Caenorhabditis elegans: one gene and its partners. The protein of the gene in region 1 interacts with the protein of each later gene in a pairwise test. Each region holds a gene or a part of one and is shown in the gene's direction. Other genes may lie near its edges. The genes, in order: ZK121.2, tbx-39, ceh-27 and lgg-2.

Region 1 (5,166 bases):
TTACTCTGAGCCTCAACCTGTTTCATTTTCAGATTCCATTTCCACCTGCTTTCCTGTGTCTCTTCACTTTTTCCATTTCTCTCGTTGGGCACATTGTTAACGTCATTTGTATGAAACAAAGCTGAATGTAGACGAAGAAAAAACATCTGCATAGGCTCTTTTTGTCGATAATAGAATACAAGTATGAAACTCTGTGTCTCAAAGATAGAGTGGATAAATTTATTCATGTTCTGATAGTGAGAAATGAAAATTTCGAGTTAGTTTATACTTTTAGTATAGAGTTTACAACATAGCCAAATGGAGAAAACATATATTTGAACTTTGCAAAAAAATATTATTTATCTAACCAAAAGTAAACTACCGTATTTCTTCTATTAATATGGCTGCAATACTATTTTTCGATGGTCTTCCCGCTTGCAATACTAATAGGGAGTGCAAGACTATTAGGGAGTGCAATACTAATTTTCAGAACATTTTTCTGACTTTGAGCTTACTATTTTTTTCTGAAAAAAACTCGTATCTTATGTAAAAATTCAGAAAATTTGATTGCAATTGCAACAAAAAGGTACAATAACTTCAATTCCATAGAAATTTTACCAAAAATTTGTTGCAAAGTAGGCAAAAAATGTTGTAAAAATCTCAAAATTCAAAGGTGCAATACTAATAGGGAGTGCAAGTCTAATAGGGAGGCCATATTAATAGAAGAAATACGGTATTCTGAATTCCGCTCGTTAGTATCTTTTTATTGAAAGTTTTCAAAAGAGATTTATAATTTTCAAATAAAAATTCTAAGAATTTTACAATTCTTTCAAGTTATCAAGTTTTTGGATGTAGAACTACGTTTGCACTATATTTTCCAGAGATTCATACCGAAAAAGTTCTAAAAGTCAATTTCCGTTAGGAAACCTCACCTCAATTTCCTCCCACCCATTATTATTCAAGATGAGCACTCCCACCCGTGAGCCACCACAAAAACACATTATTTGGCAGTTTCTAATCCCCTACAAATCCCCCTTGAAAATGATTTTGATCTGATTTTGAGCTTTTCGCAGAAATAATTGGAAATGTTTGAGAAAATGGATGGAAACTGCATATTATCAGTGATATTTAGTTGTTAATTCATGCTTATTTAGTTGCCTGTTTCATAGAAAATTGGTGATAAAGTTGTCATACGGTAGGAAGTAGGACATGATTGGAAAAACTAGATTACTGTAATTCGAAGAGTCATTTTAAATTTAATTTTTTGAACTCTATAAGCTACTAATTTTGCCTAGGTTCAACAAATTTTGGGTCCCACCGCGAAGACTGGAGTTCAGTTTGAAATGTTAATTTTCATGTTTCAATGCACTTTTAAGCTATAATAAACGAGAGATTCCGTTACAAGACCCACAGTTGTAAAATTGACGTTATGTAACTTACAATTAGACGAGAAGATACATAAAAGTGGAAATACCGAATTTTTTTTTGAATTACTCGCAATAGAATTTTTATTTTTATTGCAAGAATACGCAAGAAACACCCGCAAATTGAATTATAACGGGCTTTAACTTCCTCCCTTCTTGCTTCCTCCACGTTTTCTTTGAACCTCTGCTTCACCTCAGATTTCTTTGTTTACATTTATTTGGTATCTCTTATCTCTGCATAGATAAAAGCTTGGAAATTCTTTTAATTTTTAAATACCTTCTTCTTTTTCTTATTCGAACTATTATACCTTTTCAAAAAATAGGCCTATTATGTATTTATATTCATTTTTATGTTTTTTATTGCGAAATTTCGTCTCGTTTTTTGGTTCTCAAAAGGCGGGGCTTAGCATTGAATGGGGGAGAAGGACATTCGTGGGCGGAGACTCTAAAGCAGCTGAAGCTTACCCACTGCTCCATTTTCATGCAAACTCTGCTCTTTTTTGGTAGTACTACTTCTTGAATCCTATTTTTTTAAATTCTCATCCTCTGCTTTTTCTGTGCTTCCAACAAAAACCAAATTTTCAGGTGTAAATGTCAACCGAAAACGACGTTTCAGAAGAGAATAATTCAGAGCTTGACGATGTTGAAGACGCAAAACAAGATGATCGGCGACGATCGACTACGGTAATAATGACAATGAATGTGACGACGGTGCCAGCTACAGAAAGTGAGGGAGTTCGGAGGAATGGAAGTGTTCGAAGACGACTTTCAAAACAGAATGCAACAATTGAAGAGGTGAGCAATTTCAAGGGAAGGTGGGAAATTGTCCCGCGAAGTGTCGGACTTCGAATATGGGTGCCGTTGCTGATGTAGTTCTTGTCCCGTATGGTGTATGCTGCTAAGGTACACAACTTCTTGAAGCCGGCTAAAAGTTATCACTAACCCGTAAAATGTCGGCTGCTTGGAGAATACATTATTTTATTATCATATTGATCAGCTCACTCTCTTGTGAATCATCAGAGGATGATCCGATTTTGTGTCATAGGCCGCGCTGAAAACTGAAATAGTTCCTGTTAGGAAGTCTGCTGAAATTCATATTTTTCACCCAATTTCGAAGAATGTTTGTAAGTTTATAGACAAAATCTGGTCGTTTTCGACTGAAATTTTTTAATTTTTAGCCAATATCTCTCCTGTCAATTTCTGATAGCCCATCAGAAAACTCGGATACTACGGTCCCATGCATAGAAGAGCATCCAGAAGAAGGCAAAGAAGAGGAGAAGCCAGCAGAAAGCAGTGACGTGTCAAAACTCCGCCCACCGGGTCTCGCACAGAATAAACTGTGGTCCACATCGAAATCGTTAAGCAGAGAGTCCACAGGAACCGAGTACTCGGACAGAAGTGGCATTGATCTAAGGAATTTTGTGGATCGCACGTTACACAAGAGTGAAGAAGATCGGAAGCAGCTTCTGGAGTTCGAAAAACAACTCAAAGAACTTATTTTAGATGATAGGTTCGTTTTTGTTAAAATTTCAGTCTGAAATTGATAATTTTCAGCACACAATCGAAAAGATTCGAGCTTCCATCATCCTATCACCGAATGCTTCTTCACAGGTGTGCCGCGTGGTTTGGTCTTGATCATAATGTTACGAATAAGCAGACCGATATTGTTGTGAACAAGTCAGAGAAAACCAAAATGTGAGTTGATTAATTTTCGGATGTATGTATCATGAAAATCATAATATTTTGTCTGTTTTAGTTTAGCCCCTTTATTTGGTCTTGTCAGATTTTAACTAGAAAAGTAACAAATTTCCAGTCCTGATGACAACTTCACCGACTACATCCGGCACGATAATTACGTAGAAGACCGACTGAAACGACAAAACACTTGCGGATCCCGCAAGGAACTTCACCATATGGAATCATTCGGTGATCATTCGACGAGTCAATATGGAAGTCAAGCAAGTCTTAATCATGATCTACTCATGATGCGAAGGGCACAATCATTTGACGTGGCAGCAGTCACTGGACCATCAGTTATTCAACCTCAATCTCCACATCATGTTCGAGGTCTTCCGATGCGACAACTTTCACTCAACTGCCCACAACAATCAATGGTTACTGCACCAATGAGTGGACCACAGGGACATCAATGGGCACCGCAAAGATCATTTGATTGCTCCAATAATAGTTATTTGTGCACTGGAAAACATCCAATGATGAGGGTGAGTATCAGAGTTCGCCTGAAAAATCGATTTTTCAAAAAAGAAACAGCGTCGAGTTTTACTTTCTCACGATCGCTAAGCTACAAGATTTTGAATCAATATATGATTGAGATTGAACGTGTGGCCGTCAATATCTGTGAGCTTCAGCCATGTCGATTTACGAGTATCTCTCATACATTTCATAAGTTTCCATAAGTTTCCGAGTTTCGAAAAATTTAAGATCACATGCCGTGGGCGCAAAAAACGCTTCTCAAACTCTAACCTCTAAATTTTCCAGAAAGCAGAGAGCTTCGGAGGAATGGCAAACGGAATATCACATGGCTGTTACGAGCAAAGTGTGCCAGTAGTTTGTGGAACACCTCCATCAGTGATGGTTCATCACCACCACCACCACGCTCACATCCAACAACCTCCAACCTCCAACTATACAGGCTATCAGGTATTCGAAGAAATGTCAATGCCATCATCAAACTACCAAGAGCCTGGAATGTGCTCCCCGGGAGGAACCTACTATGAGTATGTACCTCAACCAGTAGTTCAACCACAACAGTACGCTCGTCCAATTCGGTACATGCCACAAGATTACCGAAGACCTCAAGGAGTTCAGTATATGTATGGACCACCACCACCACAACAATATATGCAATACCAGCCAATGGTTCATCCGGAAGTTGAAGTTATTGTAGATCCAGTTCAAACTCAACCCTTTCCACAAGTCAGTCACTTTGTACTGCCTGATCAACAACAGGGATACTCATCAAGCCATCAAGCAGAGACAGCAAATAGTTTTATAAAGGTAAGGTTGAAGATGAGGAAATGAATTGATGGTTGTTGAAAATAGAACAACGATTTAGGCAAGCATTGATGGTGGATATGGAAGCATGAATCAAGACGTCGAGAATGCTGAAAAGGTCGAGGAGGTCTAAACCTTTCCCCCCCCCCCCCCCCCCCCCTCCCGTTGTCTCTTTAAATGGTATTTCTTCTTTCTAGCCATCCCCTTGTAGATTGTGATAAAACCCCACGAAAAGACGATATCGCCAAACATCTGGATAATTACGATTATATGAACATGATTCGAAGTACGGATTTTCAATTTTTTCTAGTCAACTTGTAGATTTCTTTCTCTCTCTCAATCCTTGTCATCTTTTTTTTTCTTTCGCTCTTTTGATATCGAATAAATTGATTTTCAATGCCGCTAAATAACCGCTAAACTCAATCATAAGACTTTGACATGCATTTTTAAAGGAGCAAGCATTTATTCAGAAGTGTCTTGGCACGAGAAAAGGTTCATGGTAAATAGCCATTGTTTAAATTTTTCGGCTGCCTCCAAGTTTACTTTCCTTAATTCCTTGCATTCTTCATTGAAATTACCTCGTCTTTAGAAAATTTTATGTTTTGTTTTCATTTTTCCGTTTAAAATGCTTTATTACGGGAACAAACAATTCTGAGAATGCATATTGCGCAACACATTTGACGCGCAAAATATCTCTTAGCAAATTCTACAGTAATTCTTTAAATGACTACTGTAGCGCTTTCGCCGA
Region 2 (4,101 bases), on another chromosome or scaffold:
CATAAAGTGAGGTCATATAAGCAGTTTGTGAAACATTAGGAGCAATTTTTTTGTTGAAAATTCCAGGTTACCAAGTAGTTTTTCATAGTGAATTTTAGAATGTTCAACTACTAAATACTCTAATGATTGTTTAATTTTTTCAGCTCTATTCGTGGAAAGCTACCTTACCAAGCCGAATCCCGAGCCATTGATCCTCAAATCATCGATTTTTACTCAAGGAAAAAATGAAATCAAGTTCAATGTTTCACATGTAGTTGGGCCAAGAACCAATATTGCTGATTTCTATCTATTGCGTGAAGGAGAAGAAGGAAAATGGAGACTTAAATCTGGAATTGTTATCAATTAATATTCCATTGTGATGAATGAAGTAGTACTTGATTAGAATAAAGAAGTTGCTCGAAAAGAATTTTTGTAAAGTTCTGATAATTTTTACTGTTTCTAAACGTTGGTAAATCTAAACGCATAACTTGTTGTTGATATTAATATGAATTTTAAAAATGATTTTTTGATTCCAGTTCCAATCAGAAAATATTGTTGGGAGAAAAACATAATAATTGCAAAACATGGTGACAAAGTTATCAGGACATTGAAACATAATTTTAATTTCAGCATTAGTTAATTTTTCGGAAAAAAATACAATTATATGCACATGGAATTAAATAGAATGGCTACTCAAAAAAATTCTGTCTTTAACTTTATCAAAATTGTTTATCTACATATTGCGTGTTTCACTATAGTAATTTAAAACACTCCGTAAATACTTTTGTATTACAATTTTAATTTTAATGTCAACATGCATAATATGCTCAATGATCCGTTCAACCTGTATTCCTTGATTGTTTTTGGATATTTTTGAATTTGTCAGCTCAATAGTTTAGTTATGTACATATATATCTCAGTAAATTGTAAACCGAAGCTATATTCTTACCGATAGAAAAATATTCAAGAAAAAAGTAACTTCTGTTGGGATTTTAATTAATTAATTCATATTTTCGAGAATAAATGTGGCATATTTCACTAACATCAATAAGGCCACCAAACAAATTGTCTTACTCTCATTAATGCAGCAAATGTATCACAATGTTGAAACAGCAATTTTTATTTTTTTTTTAATTACAGCTTATTAATTCTCTCTTTAAGAATGTGATGTCTAATACATATTTACTAATACTGACATAGTGTTTTGCAGAGCGGAGTAGAATTTTCATCCAAAATAGAAACTTTTCAAATAAATCCTTTTCTGTCTGAAATTTTGTTATTAAAATAACGTTTGCAATGAAATGTAAACCTATCATTTTCTATATTTTCAATTTTGTAAAAGTATACACTTTCTCACTTTTCTGCTTATTATCTATCAAAAGACTAAATATATTTTCCCAGTACATAAAGTTTACAACCATTTGGATTGTCAGGTGTGTGTCCGGAAATCGATCGAAAAGGAATGATATGTCAAGGAGAAGGAAGTAGAGTTGTAAAGTGGTGGATGTTAAGGTGGGGGATACCTTGCACCTATTGTCATTATGTGAATGACAATTGGGAAGAATATAGGTCACCAGTGGAACTGTAACGTAATGTTTTGGAATAGACAACTTTGACATGAAATATTAATATGTGAAAAGGTAATCTGGAATAGAGAAGCACGCAGAAAATTGACACTACAAAATAAAAGTCTAAATGTGGATATCCTTAAATAATTTGCTTTGGATCGGGTTTTAGTATTTTTATTTTAAATTAGTAACTCGGGCGTTTTTATCAAATGCGGCAGCACTCAAAAAGTTACTGTTTCAATATAGTGATTAAAAGGACATCACTATATAAAGTACGATTTCCAGTTTCAAACAGTTTTTGTTGAGCAATTCTAAGAGAGCAAGTGAATACAATCAATCGATAATTGGTTGACTCAACCCAGTGCTCAGGCTCCGCCCACTAAGTGGGGTCTAAAACATTAAAGGGATAGAGAGGATCATTCATTATAATATTTTGTTTAGTATACCGTTTTTTTTCTTTCATACTTCCTATTAATATATGTTGATTTTTTTTCAATATTCAGATTCAATAATGTTTTCACAAGCTCAATTCAATGTTACAATGGCTGAAGAAGACCGATGGAAACAATGGTATCCAAATATGGAAATGATTGTGAATAATAAAGGGCCGAAACTAATTTTTCCCGAACTCAACTTCAATATTACTGGATTGGAAGAGAAATCGAGATATGTTGTACTTCTTTCAATTGAAAAATATGACAATATCAGGTATTTTTTAATGATTTTCAAAGTCACCATTAAAGACAAATCTTAATTTCAGATATGGATACCGAAATGGAAAATGGGGACCTTCAAAAGTCCGTCATGCAACGAAAAAAGAACAAGAAATCAAATATTTCTTACATCCAGATGGAACAAAACTTGGAAAGGAATTGATGAAGGAAACTATTAAATTTGATACAGTCAGGATTACGAATCACAAAAAATTCATGGACAAGGATAATGTGGTTAGTTTGAATTTTTAATTCACTAAATAATATTATAATTAATTTTTATTTCAGTTTTTCGTGGAAACAATGCACAAGTATGTTCCAGTCCTCACTGTCAAAAATATCACGAATGTTGAATCTGCAAATCATTCTATGAGAATGGAAGTAGCCCAATTTTTCCCAGTCACAGTATACAATCAAGAATCGATCGGAAATTGGAAATCTAAATTTCACAAGAACTCAACATATGGAAATAGATTGGATGGGGGAAACAAGAGAAAGAATACTGATTCGAGTGAAGAGCGAACATCAAAACGATCAAAAAATGAAACAGAAATTGCTGTTTCGGATATCCTTCAAGTTGCCTCACAATCAGAAAATTATAATGAGTCCACGAATTCTGGAAGGCTTCAAAATGAGATCAGTTCCTCTATTCACCAGTTCCCATCAACTTCCTATCAAAATCAATATCCACATGCGTATCCAACAGTCAATACTCCACCAATTTATGTTCAGCAATTCACAGCTCTATTTGATGAAATCCACAATCAATTCGATCCGAAAACTAAACAAAATAGGGTTGCAAAAAATGTTCAGTATCTTTCAAGTGTACCACAATTTGCGATCAATCAAAAGGAAAATATTCATCAGAATGCTCCAGATTACCCAGTCTCTCAATTTCCAAATCAATATCCATATGGTTCCTATCCCTATTATTATCCATATTTTCAATCCAGCCAACAGTTTCCACATCTCAACTATTCCATGAATAACTCTATTTATTCTGATTCCTCTTTCCAGTCATCATTTTCTGCTGAAAATTCATATTTCGATGAAAATGGAAATCCTATCCACTATCCATATTATTCTAGCAATTAATTGTCACTTCTTCATTACTAACCCTTGTTTCCTATTTTTTTCAAATTTTCCTGTGATTGTTTTGACTTCTCTGTCCATATTGACTTTAGCTCATTTTGTTTAATTCTGTAAATTATTTCTCACCTAATTTTCTGTTTCTAGTCGCAATAATTTGTAAATCAATTTTCTTTTAATAAACTTTTAACACTAATCTTGCTTTACCGTTATGATAAAAGGGCTCAGAAATTCATACATTATTCATTTTCAAAATTAAACATTGCACTATTAATCCACTATTGAATAAAAATAATTGCCAAAATTACAATTTAATATTATAACGTGATGGCAAAGTTTTCTAAATGCGCGTCCAATTTGTTTCATTTCTGCAAACACCGCGACGACAAATTGCATACCGGGTGTCAGGGCGGGCGTGAGGGGGGCGCGGGAAAGAGGCGGGCGAAGGGCGCCCCCGACACACCTCGCCCGGATGGAAAGCCTATTATGGAGCTGCTTAGCAAAAAAGTTTGCTTTTTTTTTTATTTTAATGTTTCAATTTTGATGAATCAAGTGTGGAATAGAAACATAAGCACATCATTTTTGCGTGTCAAATTATTCCGAATTTCGGATATTAAAATTTGAAATTTTTCAAATTTTTCGATTATATTGTGGGCCGCAGATACGTAACTTTACAAAAAAAAACAGGAAATATACCAACTATGTAAAGCAGACGACTTTTCCTGTCGTTGATTTATTTATTTTTTGGTACT
Region 3 (6,062 bases), on another chromosome or scaffold:
GGTTTTCCTGATGTGGCACATAGTGTTCATAAATTCTCGAGTCTCTTGTTTTCAATCATCTTGAAGTGGATTTAGCAGGGTACTTTTTCTATTTAATTTATTTCAGTACACTAAGTTTTTTATATTCTGATGTCAGATTTCGCTTGATTCAAAATCATTTCTCAATTATATCATCTAGATTTTCCCACTTTGCGTTAAAGCCTTTTGCAACTCATTGTAATTACAAAGCAAAACAAAAGTGAAAATATATTAACACTCATTTTTATGAACATCAAGAAAATTTGTTTGTAGCCTGTAATTGAATTTGGAAAATAAAAACTTTGAATCAAAACGAATCTCTCTCACTAGTTTAAACTTGAACTATTTTAAGTTAATTTTAATAGAGAACTACATCTGATTAAACGAGAGTTTTTAATGGAAAGTTGGTTCGGTGAAAAATGAGAAAGTAACACTAATACTCTCACGCTCTATTGATTGTTGGCTCACTGTTATCAGTGTGATCAACTTCGTTGACTTAGCAAACTTTTTTTTTCTCATGGTAAAAAAAGAAGGTCGTTAAACTCATTAACATTTGGATTGTCCACTAATGATTGAGAGTTTTGAACTCTCTCCCAAGTGTAAAAGTTCAAACTGGATGTAGGAAGGCAAAGTGCAAGGTAGTAAAAAGAAAACAACTATTTACCGATTGAAAGAATCTTACTGAAAATATATTAATTTTACAACTAAACAGTTGATAAGGCAAAGTATCAAAGTACATTTTAAAAAAGCTGTTACGTGAACAAAGGTTTTTTCTCTTTTTATAAAAAAAACTAGGTATATCAAAACAGTAGAAACGGGAGGAAAATTTTCAAATTCCACACTTCGGAATGACTGAAGTCCAGTAAAAATATATATGCCCGTGTTAAGAAACTTTTTGCAAATCTCAATGTTTTAGGCGTTCATTTTTCCATTCCCTCAATAAACATTATTTGGAAACTTAAAATGTAAACTGCATCTTCAGTGTATTTACAGCAATATGACACAGTTCCTCGCCATTGAGAAATTATCAGTCTATTATAAAATTTTTTTATTGATTTTTTTCAGAATTAGGTTTCAATATGGCATACAACATTCAATACGACGTTAGTATATCTCAATATCTCCAAAAAAAATAATGAAGTAGAAAAAACTCATACAATTTTCAATGAGACATAGACATATACAACCTTAAATTTAAGATATTATCACAAACATACAATTAAATGACGACGCCGATGGTCTCACCTTATGGTGCAGTTTTATCTGAAAAGAAATTGAATTTTGCGAAGGATTGAGCTGTTTGTCCTTACGGTTTCTATTCAAGTTATTTCGCTGCCCCTTTGGTCTTTTTTTAGTCTGTTATTCTGTTGGCAACATAATTTACCAAAAAGAACAACACTCTCCAACACTAGTCAGAATTAGGATAACTGAATAATTTGCCAACTTAGGTACTTGTGGAGAAATCACATGACTTGAAGTTTTTTTCTTGCTAGCTGAGTTTATTTGGGAGTCTAGAACTCGAGATTTTCAAGTAAAGAAATTAGGCTTCTCCTACGCATTCTCAATTTCATTTATAATTTTCAGCTGGTAGCACTTGATTAAAATGGGCAATTAGGTTTCAAGTATTTCTTCTCTTTTTTTTCGGTTTCCATACCTCTTCCCCTCCGATACCTCGATTCTGTTTGCCCCAGTCTCCGCCCATGGCATCCAATGAGGTTGGTGGGCGTGTCTATCGGGTGGGACAAGCAGGGCGAGAGGCTGGACTGAAGGCGCACGGGAGACACGCACACGGTGAACGATCCTCCACAAGCACTCATATAAGAGGTAAATGAGCTCTAAGAGATTCTCTCGGTTTACTTGAAGGGCCACTTTGGCCGTCCTCTCCATGACTTTTCAAGTTTTTAACTTAAGTGAGTTTTGAGTAGTTTTCGGGACGGACGCCACTTCCATCCTCCCCTTCACACCCCATCCTTCACATTTAGCGCCCCAATCGAGGCACTGGAGCAGCAGTTTCAATTCTCTGTTTCCAAAAAATAATGATAGAATCTAGAAACCTATACCATATTACCTCAAACTCTAACTTGAAAAGTCATGGTGAGTCTTCTATTCATTCCTTTTATTTTCTTTGTATTCTAATATGACATTAACTTTAGAATCCCAGTTTCTCGCCTTTAACTACAATTAATTTGTAGAATGTCTTCTGGATCATCCAATTCCTCCACATCAGCCCCTAATTCTGTCACACCAACTACTGATGCTTTCTCAACTCTCTCCATCTCAGCACCGGCTACAACTGCAGCACAAATGTCTTATTTTGCCTTCCCTAATCAATATCCACATGATTTCTCAAGGTATGCTTTTAATTTGAGGTAAATTCTGGATGTATGATGATGGATTATATGTCCCCCAGATGTGGAATTATTCAACATCAATGGTTTCTAGCAAATATAATTTATTTCGATTTAGAATACAAAAAAGTTCAAAAAAATCCAATTAATTAGTTAATTCACGAATAATTTTAGCAAACCTGAATATTTCTTCAGCTACAACACAAGTGCGGCCTACGCCACCGCTCCTGAATACAAAAAAGTTCAAAAAAATCCAATTAATTAGTTAATTCACGAATAATTTTAGCAAACCTGAATATTTCTTCAGCTACAACACAAGTGCGGCCTACGCCACCGCTCCTTACCCAATGGCAACGCATCCTCAACTGGCCAATTGTGAGTTTTTTTCTTCAAATTCATCTTCTCGACTTTTCTCACTTTCCCGTTCGCAAATAATTACAGTCCGGTCAATTCAATTGAGTTGCGCGCTTCGCATTTTTCGCAACAATTATTTTATGTCTAGATTCTTTGGTTTATTATTTAGATTATTATATAACACATACATATATAAAACAAGCGTGCGCGATATAATTGACATATACCCGAGCTACAGTAGGTCTGGTCTATGAGTAAAAAAGGTTCCCACACTAGCTTTTTCCTTTCTCTTAGATCTTTTTTCGCTTCTTCCTGCAAAACATATAATCCCTTTCTGCCGGTGGTGCTAAATGTTTGTCTTTCCAACGAAACTCGTCCTACAGTACCTCCCCTTGGTTGCCACAACATTGGAAATGAACAAGTTTGCCAACTCAACTAACTACGTCTGTCCCTTATTTTCCTTTGTTGGACAACAAACAACTAACACCATATTGAGAGGTGATAGTAGGGGTTCAATGAAGTTGCGTCGGAAGTGACGTAACATCAGTAATCTACAACACCTACTTGAAACCGTGAGAGAATTGCTTCCAAAACTTAAAGGCATGAAGGTCGTGGTACTGTAGACGTGAACATGTGACAAAACTAGTTGGTGGAACTTTTAATTGTTGGAAGGTCAATGGCGGAAATCATAAAAAGGAAATCTGCAAAAAATGTGAACTCCGAATTGAAAAATTGCAGTAAGGGTCCAAATCAGATATCATATTTTCTGATAAGTATTTTAGAATGCCAAAAATTTATTTTCTATTATATCTCTACTTAAAATAATTTACATTGTCATTCTATTGAACAGCTTTGACATCTCATATCTGGGTGGTTTTTTGTTTTATCACAAAATTATCAACTTACAGTAAATGTCATTTTTCATATATAGTTTCGTACTTAGTTATTTTTTATAGCTTTAAAAACGAGATTTAAGTTGTCAAAGCGGAGCAATTAAGTACAATTCTGACAAAAAAAATACAGTAGTTGATACCGTATCAGTTTTTAGCTTTAAACCAAGTTCACTGCTGAAAACTTTTTCAAAACTTCCAATTTGATCTGAATTTTTATCTTTAAATGTACAGGACAACCTAGATTCAGTTGCTGGCAGCTTGTCTGCCAATTCTCAGCAATTTGTTTAGTACGCCACGGGGAGTCTCTCTCGAATACTCAATTGTCTGGTAAACGGACCATATTTGTAGAAGAGTTTGCTGTGGTGCCATTTTTGTATCGTAGTTAAGACAAGTGTTAGCATACATTGACACGTGCACGCATGTGTATTTTTCTTATTGTTTTTATAAGGGACTACGGAAATTGTCGATTTCCTGAGACTTCCGTTGAAGGGCAAATTATCGCGGATCTTATTGCCATGATCCTATTGTATTTAGTAGGCATAAAACAATCACTATTTATTGCAGTTAATCGCTTCCAAACCAATCAGCTGAATTTGGGACTTACGACACAGCAGAATATGATGATATCACGAAGAAAGCGACGTGTTCTCTTCTCACCTCAACAAGTTCACGTCCTGGAACGCAAATTCCAAATCAACAGATATTTGAGCGCCGCGGATCGGGAAAACCTTGCGAAGAGTATTAACTTGTCGGCAACACAGGTTTGAACTTTTAATTTAAGCTAATCATTTGCGATGTTTCTTGTTAGTTTCTCACATTTGCCGTATTCAGGTGAAAATCTGGTTCCAAAATCAACGCTACAAGTGCAAGAGACAAGAAAAAGAGAAGAAAATGGATGGTGGATGCTATCGGGATAGTGACAGGGACACTGATTCAGACAGAGACAATGATAGTAGTGGATCACTTGGAAGTTCGATGTCTGGAATCAAGAAGGAAGAAGATGAAGATCGGAAACCATTCATGCCATCAGCAGTTTCATCTGATACAGCTTGTCTTCCGGATATCTCACAACAAGCATTCCCATATCAGGTTCGTATTTTAGATTTGTTGAGACTTTCAAATCACAAAATCGTGTTACAAATAAGATTTTGTGACGGTAATCCAATAGGATTAACATAGGGAATCGGATCACACACTTGTGACTATCTCTCTATTCTAATTCAATTTGTTCCGTTATGATGTGGTCTCATCACCTGGAAACAGATGCAGATGCACAAATGATTTTTGAAGGACCCACTTCTGACTGCAGCTGTCATTTTCCACTTTTGAATCACAGGCTTATGAACTGTGCAGTTGTTTTTTATATGGCTATCGTTAGATGACAATGTTCAACTATGTTTTTTTTCCAGATGTACCCTTCGAGTTCATATATGCCTCCGTTCTTCGCATACCAAGCACCTCCTGCAAACTATCCTCCGTCTACATACAATTTATCGACATCAGCATTTCATAACCTTTAGCTGACATTCAACTATGCTCAATTTTTTTTTTAATTTTCTCAATTTCAATCTAAAAATCTCGTGACTCTTCTGTTCTCTTTCCTTCCCCAATCCTCAATGAGCTTCTCATTTTTTTATTCCAAAAATTGAAAAATCCCAACACTAAACTGGTATGTATTTATATGCGTTGTTGCTATATTTTTGATATTATATAATCTTGCACAATAAAAATAATTTTAAATTTAAAACTTTGTTTCATTGATTTCAGAAATAGATGTCGCTTTTACCGTAATCATAATGACAGACGACGTGCCATTCTCTTCCTATTCATTGGGATGAATGGTGATGAACATGAAGAGGCGCACGCATGTTGTATAGAAAAGAAAATGCGTAGTATATTGTTTTGTAGAAAACTGAATGGAGGTACTTGAACAAGACGTCGACATCCAAAAAAAGGAAGAAGGAAAAGAAGGAAATGAAGATGTCAGACAGCAATAGTGACGCGATGAATCATCCACCAAAAATTAGGAAGATTTTCAGAAAACATGTTTTCAGATGTTTTTAGGTGGTGTTCACATTGTTGCACAAGCTGTGTACTTCTCGTGATAACTGCTTGAGATCATATAGAAACGATTTTTAGTAAATTACTTTTGAAGCAAAATTAGCATTACAGTTGAAATAATTTAATTTGCAATTGGAAAAATAATCGATAACATTCTATTTCATAATTTATTCCATGTTTTTCCAATTTTTCCAATTTGCAGTTCTTAAAAGGCAAACTTTTTTTAAAACTGACTTTTAAAATGTATACTTTTTTCCAATATTGTACATATTCCAAAATGAAATCGCTTTTTTATTTTTCTTGTAAAATTATACACCATCCAGCTTTAATCCTGTTTTTGTAGCAGAAATCCCATTTTTCAAGTTCATGTCTTCAACTGACACCTTTG
Region 4 (4,485 bases), on another chromosome or scaffold:
TGATTTTTTATTTCAAGAAATAAGCGAAAATATTAATATTTATTTTTGCGACTCACTTTTTATTACAGTGTGCAGCGTAGAGACTGCATATGGTACAAAATGTTGGCAGATTAGTGATACTAAAACTGAGATAATGATGACTGTGGTTAGTGAATAACCTTGTGGTGGGGCCGATTTCGGATCTTCTTGAACTACTGAAAATTATATGTTTTTATTTGGAAAATAATCAAAAATGTACCATTTAATTTGGAAGGTCTTCGGGTTTTTTCCAAAAGATAGGAGAAATCATCGGAATGAGTTCGTCTTCGAACTGACATCACATTATTTAAAACTATCTGCAAAAAAACAAATTTTCCAGAACTTATTCATGCATTTGAAGCGAAAACAAGAAAAAAGATCTGCAAATTAATTTTGAGCATGATTCCACCTTTCGCTTCGAGACCAGAGTAAAAAAACGTTAATGCGCCTTTGAGTTACGGTAGTACTGATTAATGGTTTGAACACCAAATGCATTTTTTTTCGATTTTGGCATGTTTTCCTTCTTTTTTTTCAAGTTATATCCGAAAAACCTAATTTAAAAAACTGAATAATCTTTTATCTAAATATTAACCATATAAATATCGACATTCCACTCGATTTCACAAGAAATTTCTTCATCTTTGAAGTTCGTACGCGGAAAATGCTATTAAAGAAAAGAAAATAAACGAGACGCAGACAAATGCACACGGCGTGCGCAGTAACATATCGATTTTGAGACGTAAACATAATTGAGTTCACTAGTCATGAGAGTCTGTTTACTCGTACATCGATTTTTCACTTTTCTTTCTTTCCCCTCATCACTTATTGTTTTGCTCTTTCCATAGTTTCGTCCTCATCTCAAAACTTCTTTCGAAATTATTTAGATACCCGCATTTTCAACAACGGAAAATCTAAGGAAACCCTTAAAATGTCAAAAAAATATCGCAGATTGCCAATTTTTGCTGTGAAATCTTGATCATATTTCATCACTTCTCCCTTTTTCGAAAATCGCGTCAAAGATCTAAAGTTCCGAGAAAAAAGTTTGCAGAAAAAAACGTCAGTTGTTCTGATTGGGAGTAGTAGATTCAGACTGGAAGTTCTAGAGATCATCTGGTTCCCCTGCCCTTTATCTCTCCCTGCCACTATTTTCAAAGTACAAGCACTTTTTTTACGTAGACCGATATAAAAGAGTTGGCTGGTATAGATAAAATCTTTAGTTTTCCGTTAATTTAAACGGCCCATTTTAATATTAGAAATTTTCATTCATAAAACCAAGCATTTTCACACTAGAACATTAGTTGAGAAGTTTTCTAGGAAGTATTCAATTAAAACGTTTTCTCCTATAACTTTCTTAGTGTCGCCAACAAGTCTCGCTGTCATATTTATTTAATTCGTTGCCACTCATCGTTTCAAATTTCGCTATCATTTCATCTGTCTGACACTGCTTCGAACTTCTGTATTAGCTGGGAGAAGGGTCATAATACACACTCTCATCTTCTCTAACTCTATTCTTTCTTTTCCCCATCTATTCCTTCATCACATGATTCTTCTCTTCTCATCGTCTCTCCGTCTCGCGGTCATGTGTCCTCGACGCTCAGTCGATCTTGTGGTGTGAGAAAAGAGAGTAGCATCAATGAAGAGACACAGAGGACAAAGAGACATACAGCAAAAGAGCGTGTGTGCTGCCTACTGCCTCTGTCTCGATTTTTCCCTCTGTCCCATTCCCTTTCACCTGTCTTTTCGCTTCTTGATAAAAAAATTCTCACAAAAACATACAGTGTCCTTTAGCATCTCACACTCTAATTTCTCTTCTAAAATCAGTTTTCTCAACTTTTCAAATACCAGTTACCATTTTTCAAGTTTGCAGATCGAAAATCGGGTCTCAGCACGAAAAAGTGAAGAAGCGTTTATGCTAGCCACGCTTCAAAGTTACACACAAACAGCGATGAGCGGAAATCGGGGAGGATCTTACATTTCCGGAATCGTTCCATCGTTCAAGGAAAGAAGGCCATTCCGTAAGTTTTTTAAAATTCATTTACTAATCAAACAATTGTCATCAAAATAAAAATAGAGCTTCAAGTCTCACTTTAATTTTACTTTAACATCAAACATCTGGTTTTCATCCCAACCAATTCATTCCCAATCATTCCCACTTTTTTTTCCTTCACCCGTCCATTGTAAAAGGTCAGAGACGCAGAGGACAGACACCCCGCGTCATGCGTTTCAGCGAGAGAGCATGAGGAAACAAGAGACAATATGCAAGTGAGACATGTGAAAATCAGCTGATCTTGTGTGAATGAGTGACTATGTCAGTGGAGCAGCACCCATGGAACATTGCGTATTAATTGGGTGCTCTTCGTTGTATGAAAGAAAGAGATAGATGGACCTGAGAAACAAAGATCAATAGGGCAGGTGCAAGGGAAATAGGATTATAGGAAAATTTGGATCAATATTGATATTCTAGAGTTCAAAATATTGCCCACCATTCAAGATAACAACCAAAACTGAACGTACGCCAATCTTTAAATAGAAATATGAATTTTACGAGTGGAAAAGAGAAATCCAGAACTGAGGAACAACTTTTTTATTTTCAAATTTTCGAAAGAAAACCTTTTTAACCTATTCGATTTCAGATGAGCGTCAGAAAGATGTGGAAGAAATCCGCAGCCAACAACCGAACAAGGTTCCGGTAATTATCGAAAGATTTGATGGAGAACGCAGTTTACCACTTATGGATCGCTGCAAATTCCTAGTACCCGAGCATATAACCGTTGCCGAGCTCATGTCAATTGTTAGACGACGGTGAGCTATTCAACTGAGTTGTTTTTTCAAAATCATCCGTTTGCTTTTCAGCCTCCAACTTCATCCACAACAAGCATTCTTCCTGCTCGTCAATGAACGCTCAATGGTGTCAAATTCTATGAGCATGTCCAATTTGTACAGTCAAGAGCGTGATCCAGATGGCTTTGTGTATATGGTTTACACGTCTCAACCAGCATTTGGATAACACATCAAGAGCCGTTTTCCATCACAATTCTAATCAATTTTTAAATTTCCACCAACACCACTGATTGCCCAATGCAATCCTCACTGTAAAATGTTGTATTTTTAAATGTAAATACCTGAAAACCCATCATACTCAGGCGCCAACCATTTTTCTAGTTGCCTTTGCTAATTTCGCCCCTCGCAATTCCCCACCTCAAAACTTCCAGCTGAAATTTGTTTTACAAACGAAAAAAAAGAAACCCAAATTCGCTTACGTTTTCGTGTAGTCTTTATGTGTTCCCTCATAACTCTTTCTCCGCATTTTCCAGCCCGTTTCTTGAATTTCTTCATGTCTTCTTTTCACAACTGATCCTCTTTCAACAAAATTTAAACCGTTTACGATTCTGTGTACTTGGCTAGTCTCTAAAGCCCATAGGGACTATTTTCCTTACTGCCCTGAACATTGAAATTTACCGCTATGGACTTTCTGACTGCCTAGACGGATTCAATTCAAAATTATTACATCTTGTTCCATCGTTACTTTTCCAAATTCAATGTATCAAATGTTTTGTATGTAATAACAACTTTTTCGTCGTTTTTATCTGGAGAATGTTCATTCACAAGGAGATCACATACATATATAATAATAATAAGAGATGATGATGATATCAACGATTATTCTTCTTCCTGGGTTGCGAATGGATTGGCGATTTGCTCGAGTCCATCTGCTGGGCTAACTACTGTAATTGCTGTTCCGCGAGCCACAATAAGACCCAGTTGTCTTAAGATAAAAGATAAGATAAAATCGAAAATCTAGATTTAATTTGAAATCCAAGCTTTAAATCGATTTTTGGAAATCTATCAATTACCTTGTCTCATCACCGACGACCGAAGGATTTTGTGGATCACGGAGATACTCGCGGCAGTCATCAAGAACCATATTGAGCAACTGATCGAATCCTCGAAGCACGCCACTTGCTGAAATTTATACATTTTTATGGAGTGAAGTACAGCTTGTGTATGTTGGACGCTTTCATATTGTTTAAATAGTTTAATGACGGAATCTTATTGCTAGTGCACATCATTGTGCAAAAAAAAAACCAACCTTCACGTCCTCCTTGGAACTTGACGCGAATCTCTTTGTCGAGAAATCTGGTGAGATCAACGACAGACTCCTTCTTTCGTTTTCCTTCGTCTTTCTAAAATAATACAACAATTATAAATAACTTATTCATTGTATTTTTAAAACATACCGACATTTCTCTGTGTTGAGTTGTGGTGAGTCTGAAATAATTCCGAAATTTTGAATGAAATTATCGATTACGAATGAAATAAATTAAGCTGACAAAATCTTATTGATTTAGAATTTTTTTAAACGGTATTTTTAATTGATAAATTATGATTTAAAATTACAAACGTATATAGAGAAGAAAATAAAATAAAGAAAAGAAAAAATAAATTCGAAAAATATTAGCTCAACAA

The links.
Region 2: the proteins of ZK121.2 (region 1) and tbx-39 interact in a two-hybrid assay, tested with the Caenorhabditis elegans proteins (one large-scale study listed by BioGRID).
Region 3: the proteins of ZK121.2 (region 1) and ceh-27 interact in a two-hybrid assay, tested with the Caenorhabditis elegans proteins (one large-scale study listed by BioGRID).
Region 4: the proteins of ZK121.2 (region 1) and lgg-2 interact in a two-hybrid assay, tested with the Caenorhabditis elegans proteins (one large-scale study listed by BioGRID).

Annotation. Positions count from the first base shown.
Region 1 is NC_003281.10:5,339,696-5,344,861, forward strand, and holds ZK121.2 (R3H domain-containing protein), read left to right. Parts: upstream 1-1,986; 5' UTR 1,987-1,994; coding exon 1,995-2,198; intron 2,199-2,581; coding exon 2,582-2,913; intron 2,914-2,957; coding exon 2,958-3,098; intron 3,099-3,216; coding exon 3,217-3,625; intron 3,626-3,902; coding exon 3,903-4,421; intron 4,422-4,479; coding exon 4,480-4,551; 3' UTR 4,552-4,564; downstream 4,565-5,166.
Region 2 is NC_003282.8:15,321,835-15,325,935, forward strand, and holds tbx-39 (Putative T-box protein 39), read left to right. Parts: upstream 1-2,058; coding exon 2,059-2,255; intron 2,256-2,307; coding exon 2,308-2,494; intron 2,495-2,548; coding exon 2,549-3,355; downstream 3,356-4,101. Other genes in the region: Y73F8A.15 (DUF38 domain-containing protein), read left to right, coding at 144-346.
Region 3 is NC_003283.11:11,660,847-11,666,908, reverse strand, and holds ceh-27 (Homeobox domain-containing protein), read left to right. Parts: upstream 1-1,806; 5' UTR 1,807-1,842; exon of another isoform or gene 1,843-1,975; intron 1,976-2,210; 5' UTR 2,211-2,211; coding exon 2,212-2,369; intron 2,370-2,673; coding exon 2,674-2,741; intron 2,742-4,177; coding exon 4,178-4,374; intron 4,375-4,444; coding exon 4,445-4,702; intron 4,703-5,022; coding exon 5,023-5,133; 3' UTR 5,134-5,360; downstream 5,361-6,062.
Region 4 is NC_003282.8:10,933,304-10,937,788, reverse strand, and holds lgg-2 (Protein lgg-2), read left to right. Parts: upstream 1-1,885; 5' UTR 1,886-1,927; coding exon 1,928-2,033; intron 2,034-2,651; coding exon 2,652-2,820; intron 2,821-2,871; coding exon 2,872-3,025; 3' UTR 3,026-3,593; downstream 3,594-4,485. Other genes in the region: Protein adenylyltransferase fic-1, read right to left, coding at 57-194, 239-317; lsm-7 (U6 snRNA-associated Sm-like protein LSm7), read right to left, coding at 3,679-3,784, 3,873-3,981, 4,109-4,202, 4,257-4,262. UniProt on the Caenorhabditis elegans protein: Ubiquitin-like modifier involved in the formation of autophagosomal vacuoles (autophagosomes). When lipidated mediates tethering between adjacent membranes and stimulates membrane fusion. Less effective at promoting membrane fusion than lgg-1.